Mytilus edulis: one gene and its partner. The protein of the gene in region 1 interacts with the protein of each later gene in a biochemical or structural test. Links are inferred from orthologs where the notes say so. Each region holds a gene or a part of one and is shown in the gene's direction. Other genes may lie near its edges.

Region 1 (7,786 bases):
CTTACCAAAAGGCGGTTACATGGAAGTAAGATGCACTTTGTTGTGGTAGTTGTGATGCTTGGTATGGTATTGACTAACCATAACTTACCAAAAGGCGGTAACATGGAAGTAAGATGCACTTTGTTGTGGTAGTTGTGATGCTTGGTATAGTATTGACTAACCATAACTTACCAAAAGGCGGTTACATGGAAGTAAGATGCACTTTGTTGTGGTAGTTGTGATGCTTGGTATGGTATTGACTAACCATAACTTACCAAAAGGCGGTAACATGGAAGCAAGATGCACTTTGTTGTGGTAGTTGTAATGCTTGGTATGGTATTGACTAACCATAACTTACCAAAAGGCGGTTACATGGAAGTAAGATGCACTTTGTTGTGGTAGTTGTGATGCTTGGTATGGTATTGACTAACCATAACTTACCAAAAGGCGGTTACATGGAAGTAAGATGCACTTTGTTGTGGTAGTTGTGATGCTTGGTATGGTATTGACTAACCATAACTTACCAAAAGGCGGTTACATGGAAGTAAGGTGCACTTTGTTGTGGTAGTTGTGATGCTTGGTATGGTATTGACTAACCATAACTTACCAAAAGGCGGTAACATGGAAGTAAGATGCACTTTGTTGTGGTAGTTGTGATGCTTGGTATGGTATTGACTAACCATAACCTACCAAAAGGCGGTTACATGGAAGTAAGATGCACTTTGTTGTGGTAGTAGTGATGCTTGGTATGGTATTGACTAACCATAACTTACCAAAAGGCGGTAACATGGAAGTAAGATGCACTTTGTTGTGGTAGTTGTGATGCTTGGTATGGTATTGACTAACCATAACTTACCAAAAGGCGGTTACATGGAAGTAAGATGCACTTTGTTGTGGTAGTTGTGATGCTTGGTATGGTATTGACTAACCATAACTTACCAAAAGGCGGTTACATGGAAGTAAGATGCACTTTGTTGTGGTAGTTGTAATGCTTGGTATGGTATTGACTAACCATAACTTACCAAAAGGCGGTAACATGGAAGTAAGATGCACTTTGTTGTGGTAGTAGTGATGCTTGGTATGGTATTGACTAACCATAACTTACCAAAAGGCGGTAACATGGAAGTAAGATGCACTTTGTTGTGGTAGTTGTAATGCTTGGTATGGTATTGACTAACCATAACTTACCAAAAGGCGGTAACATGGAAGTAAGATGCACTTTGTTGTGGTAGTTGTGATGCTTGGTATGGTATTGACTAACCATAACTTACCAAAAGGCGATTACATGGAAGTAAGATGCACTTTGTTGTGGTAGTTGTAATGCTTGGTATGGTATTGACTAACCATAACTTACCAAAAGGCGGTAACATGGAAGTAAGATGCACTTTGTTGTGGTAGTTGTGATGCTTGGTATGGTATTGACTAACCATAACTTACCAAAAGGCGGTAACATGGAAGTAAGATGCACTTTGTTGTGGTAGTTGTGATGCTTGGTATGGTATTGACTAACCATAACTTACCAAAAGGCGGTTACATGGAAGTAAGATGCACTTTGTTGTGGTAGTTGTGATGCTTGGTATGGTATTGACTAACCATAACTTACCAAAAGGCGGTTACATGGAAGTAAGATGCACTTTGTTGTGGTAGTTGTGATGCTTGGTATGGTATTGACTAACCATAACTTACCAAAAGGCGGTTACATGGAAGTAAGATGCACTTTGTTGTGGTAGTTGTAATGCTTGGTATGGTATTGACTAACCATAACTTACCAAAAGGCGGTTACACGGAAGTAAGATGCACTTTGTTGTGGTAGTTGTGATGCTTGGTATGGTATTGACTAACCATAACTTACCAAAAGGCGGTAACATGGAAGTAAGATGCACTTTGTTGTGGTAGTTGTGATGCTTGGTATAGTATTGACTAACCATAACCTACCAAAAGGCGGTAACATGGAAGTAAGATGCACTTTGTTGTGGTAGTTGTGATGCTTGGTATAGTATTGACTAACCATAACTTACCAAAAGGCGGTTACATGGAAGTAAGATGCACTTTGTTGTGGTAGTTGTAATGCTTGGTATGGTATTGACTAACCATAACTTACCAAAAGGCGGTAACATGGAAGTAAGATGCACTTTGTTGTGGTAGTTGTGATGCTTGGTATGGTATTGACTAACCATAACTTACCAAAAGGCGGTAACATGGAAGTAAGATGCACTTTGTTGTGGTAGTTGTGATGCTTGGTATGGTATTGACTAACCATAACTTACCAAAAGGCGGTTACATGGAAGTAAGATGCACTTTGTTGTGGTAGTTGTGATGCTTGGTATAGTATTGACTAACCATAACTTACCAAAAGGCGGTAACATGGAAGTCAGATGCACTTTGTTGTGGTAGTTGTGATGCTTGGTATGGTATTGACTAACCATAACCTACCAAAAGGCGGTTACATGGAAGTAAGATGCACTTTGTTGTGGTAGTTGTGATGCTTGGTATAGTATTGACTAACCATAACTTACCAAAAGGCGGTAACATGGAAGTCAGATGCACTTTGTTGTGGTAGTAGTGATGCTTGGTATGGTATTGACTAACCATAACTTACCAAAAGGCGGTAACATGGAAGCTAGATGCACTTTGTTGTGGTAGTTGTGATGCTTGGTATGGTATTGACTAACCATAACTTACCAAAAGGCGGTAACATGGAAGTAAGATGCACTTTGTTGTGGTAGTTGTGATGCTTGGTATGGTATTGACTAACCATAACTTACCAAAAGGCGGTAACATGGAAGCTAGATGCACTTTGTTGTGGTAGTTGTGATGCTTGGTATGGTATTTACTGCAAAGGTATGGTACCCCTTATTATGGATGACAGTTACACTTCAATCATTCCATAATTCAAACTTTATACTTACATGATATTCTAAATGATGACTCGTAATTGGGAATTCCTGGTGTCACAAAAGCCACATCTTTTCTAACTCCCAAACATGCGGTAAAAATCAAAAGCGAGATAAACGCACTACAAATAAGACAGGTTTATAATGATTTTCATTCCATGCAGAACCGTGATAAAAAAGATCTTTTGCATTTAATATATATAGATTTTACAGAACCATGCAGTATATATAATTATCGCTATTTTGTGCATTTTCCTTTGATCTTTTTTGTGATAATTTTTCATATCATGTTACTCGCTTGAGATGAAAAAATAATCGCTAGAATCTAAGGAGGCACGTGGCGTTGCTTATGAAATTGACATGAAATTGACGACGTTGTCAATTGACAACGTCGTCATAGGTAAAATAGCAATAAACAGATTGTCATGGCAATCATACCACATCTCTTTACTTTTTTTTTTTTTTTTTTTTAGAAAATACGTAATGCTGAAACTAGGATTGACAGTATTTCAGTACTGTACTTCCTAACATAAAGTTCTATTGAATATATAAGGAATCGAAAAACTACCATGTAAACACAATCAATACTTCAGGTGAAGAGTATTACGATTTTGTTGGTATACAGCAACACACGACAACTGTTGTATTACAAGCTCCTCGGTGACTTTGGACAGGCACATAACAGAACAGTGGCGGATCCAGAACTTTTCATAAGGGAGGGGGGGGCGGTGGGGGTACGGACTGATCTAATGTTGGGGTTCTCTCCAGTCATTCTTCAGTGATTCTCTATATAATCAATCAAATTTTTCCCACGAAAAGTGGGCCGGGTCCTCAAGCTCCTTGGATCTGCATATGCAGAATAATGTGGGATTAAACAGTTGCAGTTCAAGTTGCTGGTGCCAAATCCTCCTCTTACCTGGCCCAACAGTTACGACAGTACTACTTGAGACTACTATATATATATATACATATACAGCTCGTCTAAACATCAACCCAACAATGTTAGATCTGTAAATTTGCTTTCGCTAATTTTTTGTTCTTCCCTCGCCGCCCGGGATTCGAACCCATGCTACTGAGATATCGTGACACCAAATCGCCTATATTAAACATGCCAAAATTATAAAAAAAAAATGAAAAATTATTATGAAATTAAAAAATATATTTTTAATCATTAAGGCAGCAACCATTTGATTTTTTTTTTTTGGGGGGGGGGCTATGGATATTTTTTCTGGAAAACTTTTTTTCGCCTTTGGCGAAAAACAATCTATTTTTTTGGCGACAAGTCGAAAACAATTTTTTTCTATTAATTTTTATCATTACATATGGTGGCAGCTGAGGGTGTAACAAACAATTTTTTTTATCGGGGTCAGAAACAAATTATTTTTTTTCTCCCAAAACTGGAAACAAACTTTTAAAACCATAGCCCCCCTCCCCCTCCAGAAAATCAAATGGTTGCTGCCTAACAACTTGCGCCAGAAAGTAATCAAGTGGTTGATGTTTTTCTGTATATAAAGAAGAAGAGACCTTGCTCTTCCCCAGTTTCTCTGAGCATAATACAAAAAAGTATCAGAGGTATATATAATACTTATACTTATGTGAGATCATATGTCTCTGTTGCTACTATACAAATCTCTTAATTGTTCTCGTTAACAAAAATAAATTGTTCTCCCCTTCCAATCTAAATATCTAATAGCAAGTTTTTTTTTTAGTGCTTTAAGATCTTTTATGTTCGGCAATATTAGCTTGATATAGTAATACATAATTATTTATATATTAGCCATAGGCAAACTTTTAAAAATAGCGTTTAAAATTCCCGCGTTACAATTAAAATCACAGGTGGTTAAATCCGGGGTTTTTAAACATGCGCAGACAGCAATTGTATGGACTTAGCCGTTTCAGCACAAATTGCTTCGCCATAAAACGTGGACCCTGATAGAAAATAACTATCTGCGTAATGGAATCTCCGATGGAGACTGAACAACCTGGAATGCTTGAGGTATGTAGAATTAATATATCTTTAATTATTTTTGATCTTCATATATTTTCGATGAGCCTTTTACTCTGTACACATACCAGAAATTATTCGAACAAAGAACCGAGAAAATGACAAAGTCAAGATGGCCGCAAAATTTCTAAGTCCGACTTTGAAACATTGACTTTTTTGACGATTTTATCTTAGAATTAAACCATTAGTAGGTGGTTGTTAATTTTTTGTAATTGGTATATTTGAAGATGATATATAATTGCTTCGTTTTCTTTATTTGAAGGGTGCTGGTGATTTCGTTGAGAGCCAACAAAGCGGTGAGTATTTTTGCATATCTTTGAAATATCGACAAAATGGCTAAGTCCAGACTGTAGTCAGTAAAGGCAGGTAACTCAAGCGTGAACTTTTCAATTGTAAGTCGATGTTGGCATCATTTGCTGATTTCATACATATTTAAAAACAAGTGTTGTTGTTGATGAGTAAATGTAAAAAAAAAAATATTTCCATTAGAAGAAAAAAAGATGGATTTTAATGTTGTCCATATTTATTTGCCATCCCAGCAGAAACTTGCAAAATAAAAAGTGTGGTTTGTCTAAACTAAATTTGTCTAAAGATGATTAAAACAAATTACAGAATTGGGCTTTTTATTCCCTGAACATGACATTAAACAGGAAAGAAGAAACATACAGTTGTATACACATGATGTACCCCCCCCCCCCCCCCAAAAAAAAAAAAAGAATTCTGTTAAATCCCTAAAACTGCTTGACGATAATTCTTAACTAAAAAGGTTATTTTGTAGAGATAATTTTAATTAAATATAAAAAAAAATTGTCTGTAGTTATTTATGTTTTTATTTTATCCACTTGTACCATGTCCATGAACACAGTTTTGTTTGTGCTCGATAATTTTTTTCTCATTGAAAATTTTAAATTTTAGGCAACAAAAAGCTGGGATTCTCAAAATTTCGACTTTTCAACCCAAATTCTCAATTTTGGTCAAGTCTCCTCTATTATCAGAAAAGTTTGAAAAATTTTCCAGGTTTTAAGGTTGTACAAATTTAAAGATGTTCATTCCAAGTGTTTTTGTACATAAAATGACATTTCATGTAAAAAAATGTAGCCTAGTCTGGCTTCAATTATTCAATATTCTTTAAAAAAAAAATTCTCTAATTAATAGGCTATTATTTGAACTTGGAATTATTTTTAATTATGGAATTTGCATAATTTCTTGTGTTTAAAATTTTTAATAAATTTCATGTTTATTTGGTATTAGAATCTTTTAAGTGGTTAATAACACTTTCCATACAATGTATTTTGGTTAGATAGTGTTGTGCGCGGCACAGTACATTCTATTGAAAATATACTATTTTCTTTGTAATCGAAAGTGTTGTGCACAGCACAGAACATTTCAGTACAGAATAAACATGGAATTTCTTAAAAATTTCAATAACAAGAAATCAAGCAAATTCCATAATTAAAAATAATTCCAAGTTCAAATAATAGCCTGTTAATTTCAAATTCTAGTTAAATCCATAAATTTCAACTGATGGTGACACAGTTTGCAACAAACAGAAGCACCATGTTTACACTTTTATCTTGGTATTAAACAAAGAAGCATAACTTTATTTACTTGTGTTTCACTGTTTTAAGCGGGAAATACAAAAGATGTATTCAGATCCCAGTATAAAACCCGTTATTCATAGGTGAAAGTGTTAAGAAAATATAAAAATATTTTTCAGAATTTACAAGTTAACCAGTTAAAATTCCATGACAAACTACATTTTGTATGTATAACTTGTAAAATGTCTTGATTTTGCTGCAGATGAGAACAATTTTCAACATGTTTAATGTACAAAGATAATTTCATTTGAAATATTGGCTTGATTTGTTATCTTCACAGTTGCTGAAATGAAAGCTAAATTACATGAGACCAGCAGTGTGAACCATATTGATGAGTCGAAACAGAATGGACATTTGAGCAACCATAACTCTTCTAGGAAAAGTGAGGGACACCACAGTTCCTCAAGTTCAAAGCATTCCTCATCCCACAGTTCATCCAAGCATAAAGATGGTTCAAGCTCCAGTAAACACAGCAGCAGCAGCAAACACAAGGATGGGAGTTCTTCTAGCAGCAAGCATCGTGATGGACATGGCTCAAGTAGTAGCAAAAGCAAGGAAGGGAGCTCATCAAGCTCTTCCAACAAACCTAGTAGCAGCAGCTCTAGTAGTAAACATAAGGAAGGTGGCAGTAGTTCAAGTAGTAAGCACAGGGAAGGACATAGCTCAAGCTCCAGTCATTCCAAAGACAAGTCACAGAGCTCATCATCTAGTTCTAGCAAAGATAAAAAAGAAAGTTCTAGTAAGTCGAGCGGCAGTTCAAGTGACAAACACAAATCAGGTAGTAGTTCTGGTGATAAACATAAGTCGAGTAGCAGTTCTGGTGACAAACACAAGTCAAGCAGCAGCTCAAGTGACAGACACAAGTCAAGTAGTAGCTCAGGTGACAAGCACAGATCAAGCAGTAGCTCTGCAGAAAAGCATAGGGATGGTTCCCCTAGCAAACACAAAGAGCATAGAGAGAAAGAAAGACAAAAAGAAGATAAGGAGAACAGAGTAGAGAGGCAGAAAGAATATGATAATATCAAAGAAGAACCCAATGAAGACATCCATAAAGAGACTATGGAAGTAGATATCAAAAGTGAACCAGCATCCCCTGTAAAGATGTCTCCAACTAAAGCTCCTAAGGAAGAAACATTGAGTGATGATGATGAAGATATAGATGTAGATGATGTACCTTTGGTAAGTAAAATTATAATGTAAATCTTTCAAATTTTCAGGTTATACATGTACATTGTATGTATAGTTTTTTTTTCAAATTTTACGAAAAGAGATTTTAAAAGTGATAATATTTTTTTATTTTTGGTGAAATG
Region 2 (7,298 bases), on another chromosome or scaffold:
AAAAGTCATCGGTTCTTTCAAAGTTTATAACTAATGCATTACAGCAGTTTGATAATGTTGCATAAGCACATACATTTCATAAAAAAAACCATAATTTATTTCTATATATTGTTGTTTTGCATTATGAATTGCATGGACACCGGTATGCTTTATACCTATATTATTTGGATTAATCAAATCTACCTATGTCTATAGAAAAAAAATTTCACATCATACATGATCACTGTATTCAAAGGACACTGGTTAACGTATGGTTAGATCAATCAAACATATTGCCATCCCTGTTATTGAAATGACGGAACTAAGCTAGCATGCTGATGTCCAGATAAACATATTGCATAGATCCAAATATACGTATATCGATATGGAATTTATGTGATTTAAAAAATCTACATTTTAGAGTGCCATGGATTTTAAGCTGAAACTATTCGTAATTTGAACAATCGTTTTGTGGGCACGGTCAAATTTGATTGATATTTAAGTACGCATTGCTTTTGCGCCAATTCTTAAAAGTTGTAGTTTTTCATTTGCGCCAAAAAATAAATATTGCTTCTGCGCCATTGTGCAGGTAAACTAATTAAAAAGTGAAAATATAGAAAATTTAAACAATATCTACGGACACACCAGCTGTCGTCAGGAGATAGGAGAAAAAAAAAAACAGATTAAATACGGAATGCACCTCTAGAACCGAAATTTCCCGCTGATATTATAGTAAGACCTTTGCCTATAGGTTTTGTAACAGAACAGACTTTTAGTTTTTATAAATACTTTGATTAACAGCAGTTATTATTGTGGTTTTATGACTTTTAAGGAGTTACCATTTTTTATAGTGCTTTGATAAATCCGAAAATGTTTTAACAATTTGCAAACATTTTTTTATTATAGTGTAAACCAGTGTTTAGTGCTCATATTTTTATAAAGATATATTTTAAACATATGTTTTAATATTTATGAGACCTTGTTTCTAATATAAAATTGAGAATGGAAATGGGGATCACTGTTTCTTATCATCTTCGGAAGGCCCCTTTTTTAATTTATAATTACCAATGGAAGTAGAAAGACCTTTTGTCTAACCTGTCTTTGTGATATTTTTTATACGTCCGTCAATTTTGACGGGACGTATTATGGTATACAAATGTCCAGTGTCCGTCCGTCCGTCCGTCCGTCCGTCCGTCCGTCCGTCCGTCCGTCTGTCCGTCTGTCCGGTGTAAACATGTCGCACCGTAACTTGAGAACGACTTATCCAAATTTCATGAAACTTAACATAGTTGTTTCTTATGATGGTCAAATGATCTGTATACTTTTTTGTGAAAATAAGATTACAACTTTTTGAGTTATGGCACTTTGTAACTAAAACAGGGGTGTGTTTTTTTCACATGTCGCACCGTATCTCAAAAACGATTCTTGATCATGGCTTAAAACTTTAAATGCTTCTTAGTTATATTAATCTTAATATCTGTATACTTTTTGGTGATGATTCAAAATTTCATTTTTGAGTTATTGAGTATTTTGTAAAATAAAAAGGGGGGGGGGGGGGGTTACATGTCGCACCATATCTCAAAAACGATTTATGATTATTGCTTAAAACTTTACACACTTCTTTGTTATATTAATCTAAAGATCTGTATACTTTTTGGTGATGATTCATTTTTATATTTTCGAGTTATTGAGTTTTTTTGTAAAAAAAGAGATTTTTTTTTCACATGTTGAGCTGTATCTCTATTGCTTAAAACTTAACAGGCTAATGTTGCGTCGGGTTTCCAAATACATCTTGTACAATCTTCCTATTGAGCGGGAATAAGGAATGAGTCAGGATATACTAAGCATGACATCCTGTACAACCCTGTGTTATTCAAAAAAGATTTATGTTTTTTCACAAGACGACGGGCGTATCATGCGCTCATGGCGCAGCTGTTTATCTAAATATTGATCAAGTCGAAATGTTATCTAAAACACTTACCACTCATTCAAAAAAGAAGGGTCTGACTTGTTTTTATCATACTGCTTTTATTACATTATAGATGTCTGTTTCCGTTGATTCCGTTAAATACCAATTCCTCAGAACAATTGGTACTTTGCGGAACGGAAAAATAAATTAAAAAGTTTAAATCAGAGTCAACTTGATCACTGTCTCTAATCATCGTCGGAACGGGCTGTTGAAGGCCTCTTTTTTAAAATATAATTACCGATGGAAGGAGAAAGACTTTTTGTGTAACCTGCCTTTGTGTTAATTTTTTTTTATTATTGATCAAGTCGAAAATGCTATCTAAAACACATACCACTCATGCAAAAAGAGGTGTCAGACAATTTTTGTTATCATACTGCTTTTATTACATTACAGATGTCTGTTTCCGTTTTTTCCGTTAAATACCAATTCCTCAGAGCAATTGGTACTTTGCGGAACGGAACGGAACGGAAAAATAAATTAAAAAGTTTAAATCAGATTCAACTTGATCACTGTCTCTAATCATCGTCGGAACGGGCTGTTGAAGGCCTCTTTTTTAAAATATAATTACCGATGGAAGGAGAAAGACTTTTTGTGTAACCTGCCTTTGTGTTAATTTTTTATTATTATTGATCAAGTCGAAAATGCTATCTAAAACACATACCACTCATGCAAAAAGAGGTGTCAGACAATTTTTGTTATCATACTGCTTTTATTACATTACAGATGTCTGTTTCCGTTTTTTCCGTTAAATACCAATTCCTCAGAGCAATTGGTACTTTGCGGAACGGAACGGAACGGAAAATAAATTAAAAAGTTTAAATCAGATTCAACTTGATCACTGTCTCTAATCAAGGACGACGTGAGGTCAGTCTAGATATCATAATGCATGACTTGCAAATGCGTTAATTTCATGATAATTTATCACGACAATCCCGGCGACATATTCATCTACAGAATATTTCCCGATGTTATACATTATTACACATTTCACCTGTGAAGATGAGATTAAGTATACATTTGTGTTATTTGTATATGGAAAACCGTAAAACACAGAAATTTTAAAGTTTGTTTTGTTTTAAAGATTTTTCGAAATTTTGATAAATGCCCCCTTTGGATACCTTAAATGAAATTCCGTTCCGTTCCGTAAAGTACCAATAGCCATCTAGTGATTATCATTTATTGATATTAAAAAAATGATTTTTCACTATCAAAAAAATGATTTTTCACTATCAAAAAAATGATTTTTCAATATTAAAAAAAGATTTTTGTCATAAATAAATGATTTTTAATAATAATAAATGAGTTTTCAATATTACATTCGATTTCATTGAGTGAGTATGGAAAGGTTAAATCCTTGGTTAGCTTACCTGTTAGCTGAACCGTGCAGTCATTATTAAGTTTAACATGTTTAATAGGTAAACTATCCTCCTTTAAGAGTAGACTAGTCCGACAGACAACCAATCTATCTGTCTGTAGGACTAGACTACTTCGAAAGAAGTAGTATTATTGTATAGCAATATAATATTTCCCACAGAAAGTAACCAAAAGTTAGCGTGCAATAAATTCTAATATTGCACTAGTGCAATAAATCTTCAAAATTCATGACATCATCAACGACAAAATCTTAGTTTAAACCAATTTTTACTTTTAAATATTATATTGCTATACAATAAAAGGGTTATTGCATGAATATTGGGGAATATTGTCCCTCGTAGAACATATATTGCACTCGCAAGCTCGTGCAATATAAAATTCTACTCGGGACAATATTCCCCAATATTCATGCAATAACCCTATATTACTATACCTTACATGACCTAAATCTCAGAGCTAACCTAATAATGAATTCATGGTTCAGCTAACAAGCAAGCTAACCAAGTTTACTGTCACAGAATGGAAGTTCCTTCATAATATAAGTTCCAAAAAAGAAAAAAATATTCTGGAACACAATTTCCAAAGGAATAAATATATTACAGTATATGTTCCCAACGGAATAAATGGTATAGAATATTTGTTCCAACAGGAATAGATATAATTACAATATTTATAACAAAGTTTCCATTGGAACTTCTGTTAGGTGGAACAAATATATACCTTACCCTACACACTCAATGCAATCGGCTGTAATAAATGAATTATTAATATTTAAAAAAGATACAGGATTTTTGTTTATATAAAACAAGGATTTGTATAGTAAGAACTTACTATACAAATCCTTGTATAAAAGTAGTCACTTTCTGATATAAGGTACGTTGTGGTGCATTTATTTTTACAATATGAATGAGGAAGTTAGTCTTGATCACGTATTCTGCCTCGTTTTAGAAACCAACGCTATCTTTCTTCGCCATTTTTCACAACACGTCAGCCGTAGGAAAAGAAAACGAAGCATGTCTTACGGACGACCATCAAATGATTCCAGAATTTATGTTGGCAATCTCCCACCTGATATAAGAGCTAGAGACATTGAAGATTTATTTTATAAATTTGGACGAATTAACTTTGTTGACTTGAAAACAAGACGAGGGCCCCCTTTTGCCTTTGTTGAATTTGAGGACCCACGGTAAACACTTTGTTTAGTTTATTTAAATTTAAAACTGTCAATATTTTTTCTTGGCAATTTCAAGGTGTAAACCTACTTGTATTGTGGCTGTGCTCATAGCCATATTTACATGTAAAACTGAGTAAGAGAGTATTTACTAATAATAATATTAAAAATCACAGGCACTTGTTTCTATTCATGAAGGTACTGTCTACTGTAGTAATTTTACTGTCAGTCGTCAAATAGTCAGTCTTCACGACAAGTGGCAGCCCAGGCTGGTAAAATTGCTCTTGGCCTGTAAAAATCAGACCTACAGGCCAACAGAATATAACTAAAAATTTTCAAAAATTGAGCTGTGGGCCTGTAGATTTAGCAGTTCAGAGTGAAGACTGAACAGTCATTTTAGGCATCAGTTGGTGTCATTGGTTTTACCGTGATTCGTTCGAAATATCCTTTTATATCGTGAATCGTCAGAGGTCTCATAAAATTATCGTTACCTCAATTGGTAAAAATTTGTCAGAGCAGACCTTCCATCTAAACATGAAACCCTAGAAAATTACAACACTGCCAGCGATATTGTTGGCTTTTTTCAAAACTACCTCTAGTTACCCTTTTTATTGGGAAAATATGCGTCATTTTCATCAAATTGGGAAATTTAAAATCATGAATATGACTGAAACTTCAATTTACAGACCCATTTTCAAGAGTCAAACCCTGCTTTGAAATAAGACCCTGTGATGATACATAAATAGACCCTCAAATGTGCACATATAGTCATTTTAGGCAAGAAAATTGTTTAAATGAGTGTTTTTAAAGGGGCACTAGCTGTCAAATTCATTGTAACCGATTTGACTCAAATTCTCATATTTGGTTTATAACAATGTAAAACATTTATCCAAACTATCAAAAGTCTAAAATAAGCAGTTTACAGAGCATGGGGTAGATAATATATAGGTTCGTTTCGTGTGTATTTTAGTCCAGACGCCATCTAATTAACTATCGATTTGACCTCAGATGACCATATTAGCGATGTAAACAAAAATTAAGATACGAATAGATTAAACCAACACGTGCAATTGCATTTTTATAGGTCTGTTTGATTTTATTTTATAGATTAAAAATAGATGTTTCTCATTGTTTTTAACCATATAAGAATGACTTTATGTGCATCGAATTAGTAATCAAATGATTTACCGTAGTTTCACTTTCATTGTTGACATTCTTTTTCTTTAAATAACCAGTACACGTACAACGCATGCGTTGTCAATCTCTAGCTAGGGGTTAAGGTTCATCATAAGGAATTGAAAAATATGGCCGTGTTTACACCTCCAAAATTACTATGAGTACAGACAAACTGGTACATCCAGGAAAGTTTTAAGGCATGGCAGGAACTAGATATATAAAAGTTATATGAAGTCTTCGTTTCAGAAAATTAAAAACTTACCTGGATTTTGATGTTCATTTTTTTCCAGTCTGCAGAAGATAGCAAAATAAACAAACACCCGAGTTTCATTTGATACGGTCCACTCAGTTACACAGTTTAAACCTGTTAAATAACCTATTGTTTACAGGTGTCTTGTCCATCTATTGTCCATTTAAATCAATACTACTCACAACATTGATTATATGAGTGGAGCTTCTCAATCGTTTTCACTACTTAGTTAATTTTTGCACCTTCTGCAGGAACGAAAAAAAATGGATAGCAAAATCTAGAAAAGTTTATAATTTTCTGAAACATAAAATGCATTTAAAATTTATATATCTAGTTCCTGCCATCCCTTAAAACTGTTGCAGGTGTATAGGTTAGTCTGTACTCAGAGTAAAATTTGGGGTGTAAATACGGCCATTTTAGCCAAAAGGTTATGATGAACCTTAACTTGAAGTTCACATGAATACCGGTTAGAATGATGATGACGTTTTCACTTGCAAGTGAATCAGTCACAGTGTTCCAGCTAGGTTTTCAAAAGGGCAGGGTGCCAATCCTGAAAAAGGGCATTTAACGCGCGATATGATAATATGAAAAGGGCATATTTTAATAAAAGATGTTAATCAAACATTTGTGTTTATTCGTTGAATCACAGGTTATACAAGAACAACATCTTTAGCCCATATAGAACTCTATCTTTCTACTTTTAAGGCTGAAAAACTTGTCAAGCAGCTTGTCACACAAGTTTTTTTTATCATTGCTTGGCACAGTTGAACTTTATATGCAGTATGTTTTGAAAGGAGATCTGTTTCATACTGTTTCTATGGTCTACCACATTTTACCAGTTTCACCTTTCTACCCCTGCTGTGCTTGATGGCAATACAGCACAAAACAGCTGTGCTCAGTAAATTCACAATTTTAGGATATAAAGCAACAGTGAAAAATAGTATCAAAAATAAAGAATACAGAAAAAGATGACCAAGGCACCCTACAAACACTGCTACTAAGACCCTCTTTAACTTTTCCCATAACTCAAAATAAATACCTAAACATATATATTCTTAAGCAAGAAGTATGGAGACACATTTTAGAATATGTAAATGGGTTACTCAATGCTAGGAAAAAAATCAGATTGAGTTATCTTTCTTTATTCGGGTGTGCTCCTTCTTTGGAGGATTATAAACAGTACGTAAATATGATGTAAATATGATCACAATATGGCAGCCGATTTTGTTATTTTCGTATCAAAAATGAAGGCAGTCAATGACAAATACGTCTGAATTTTCTGTTTATTTTACAGAAAACAAGTAAAACAATGTCTTCAACGAGTTTATAATGGTTTTCCAACTTTCTGTCATTACGTTTCTTCCATGAAACTACGGTAA

The links.
Region 2: the proteins of DNA topoisomerase I, mitochondrial-like (region 1) and serine/arginine-rich splicing factor 1-like form a complex in vitro, tested with the Homo sapiens proteins (2 studies listed by BioGRID, with this or other methods). The link is inferred for Mytilus edulis from reciprocal best matches to the Homo sapiens genes TOP1 and SRSF1.

What each region holds. Positions count from the first base shown.
Region 1 is NC_092348.1:94,547,647-94,555,432, reverse strand, and holds the start of DNA topoisomerase I, mitochondrial-like, read left to right. Parts: upstream 1-4,727; 5' UTR 4,728-4,827; coding exon 4,828-4,869; intron 4,870-5,140; coding exon 5,141-5,174; intron 5,175-6,756; coding exon 6,757-7,655; intron 7,656-7,786. UniProt on the Homo sapiens protein: Releases the supercoiling and torsional tension of DNA introduced during the DNA replication and transcription by transiently cleaving and rejoining one strand of the DNA duplex.
Region 2 is NC_092349.1:62,473,791-62,481,088, forward strand, and holds the start of serine/arginine-rich splicing factor 1-like, read left to right. Parts: upstream 1-4,257; 5' UTR 4,258-4,335; coding exon 4,336-4,508; intron 4,509-7,298. UniProt on the Homo sapiens protein: Plays a role in preventing exon skipping, ensuring the accuracy of splicing and regulating alternative splicing.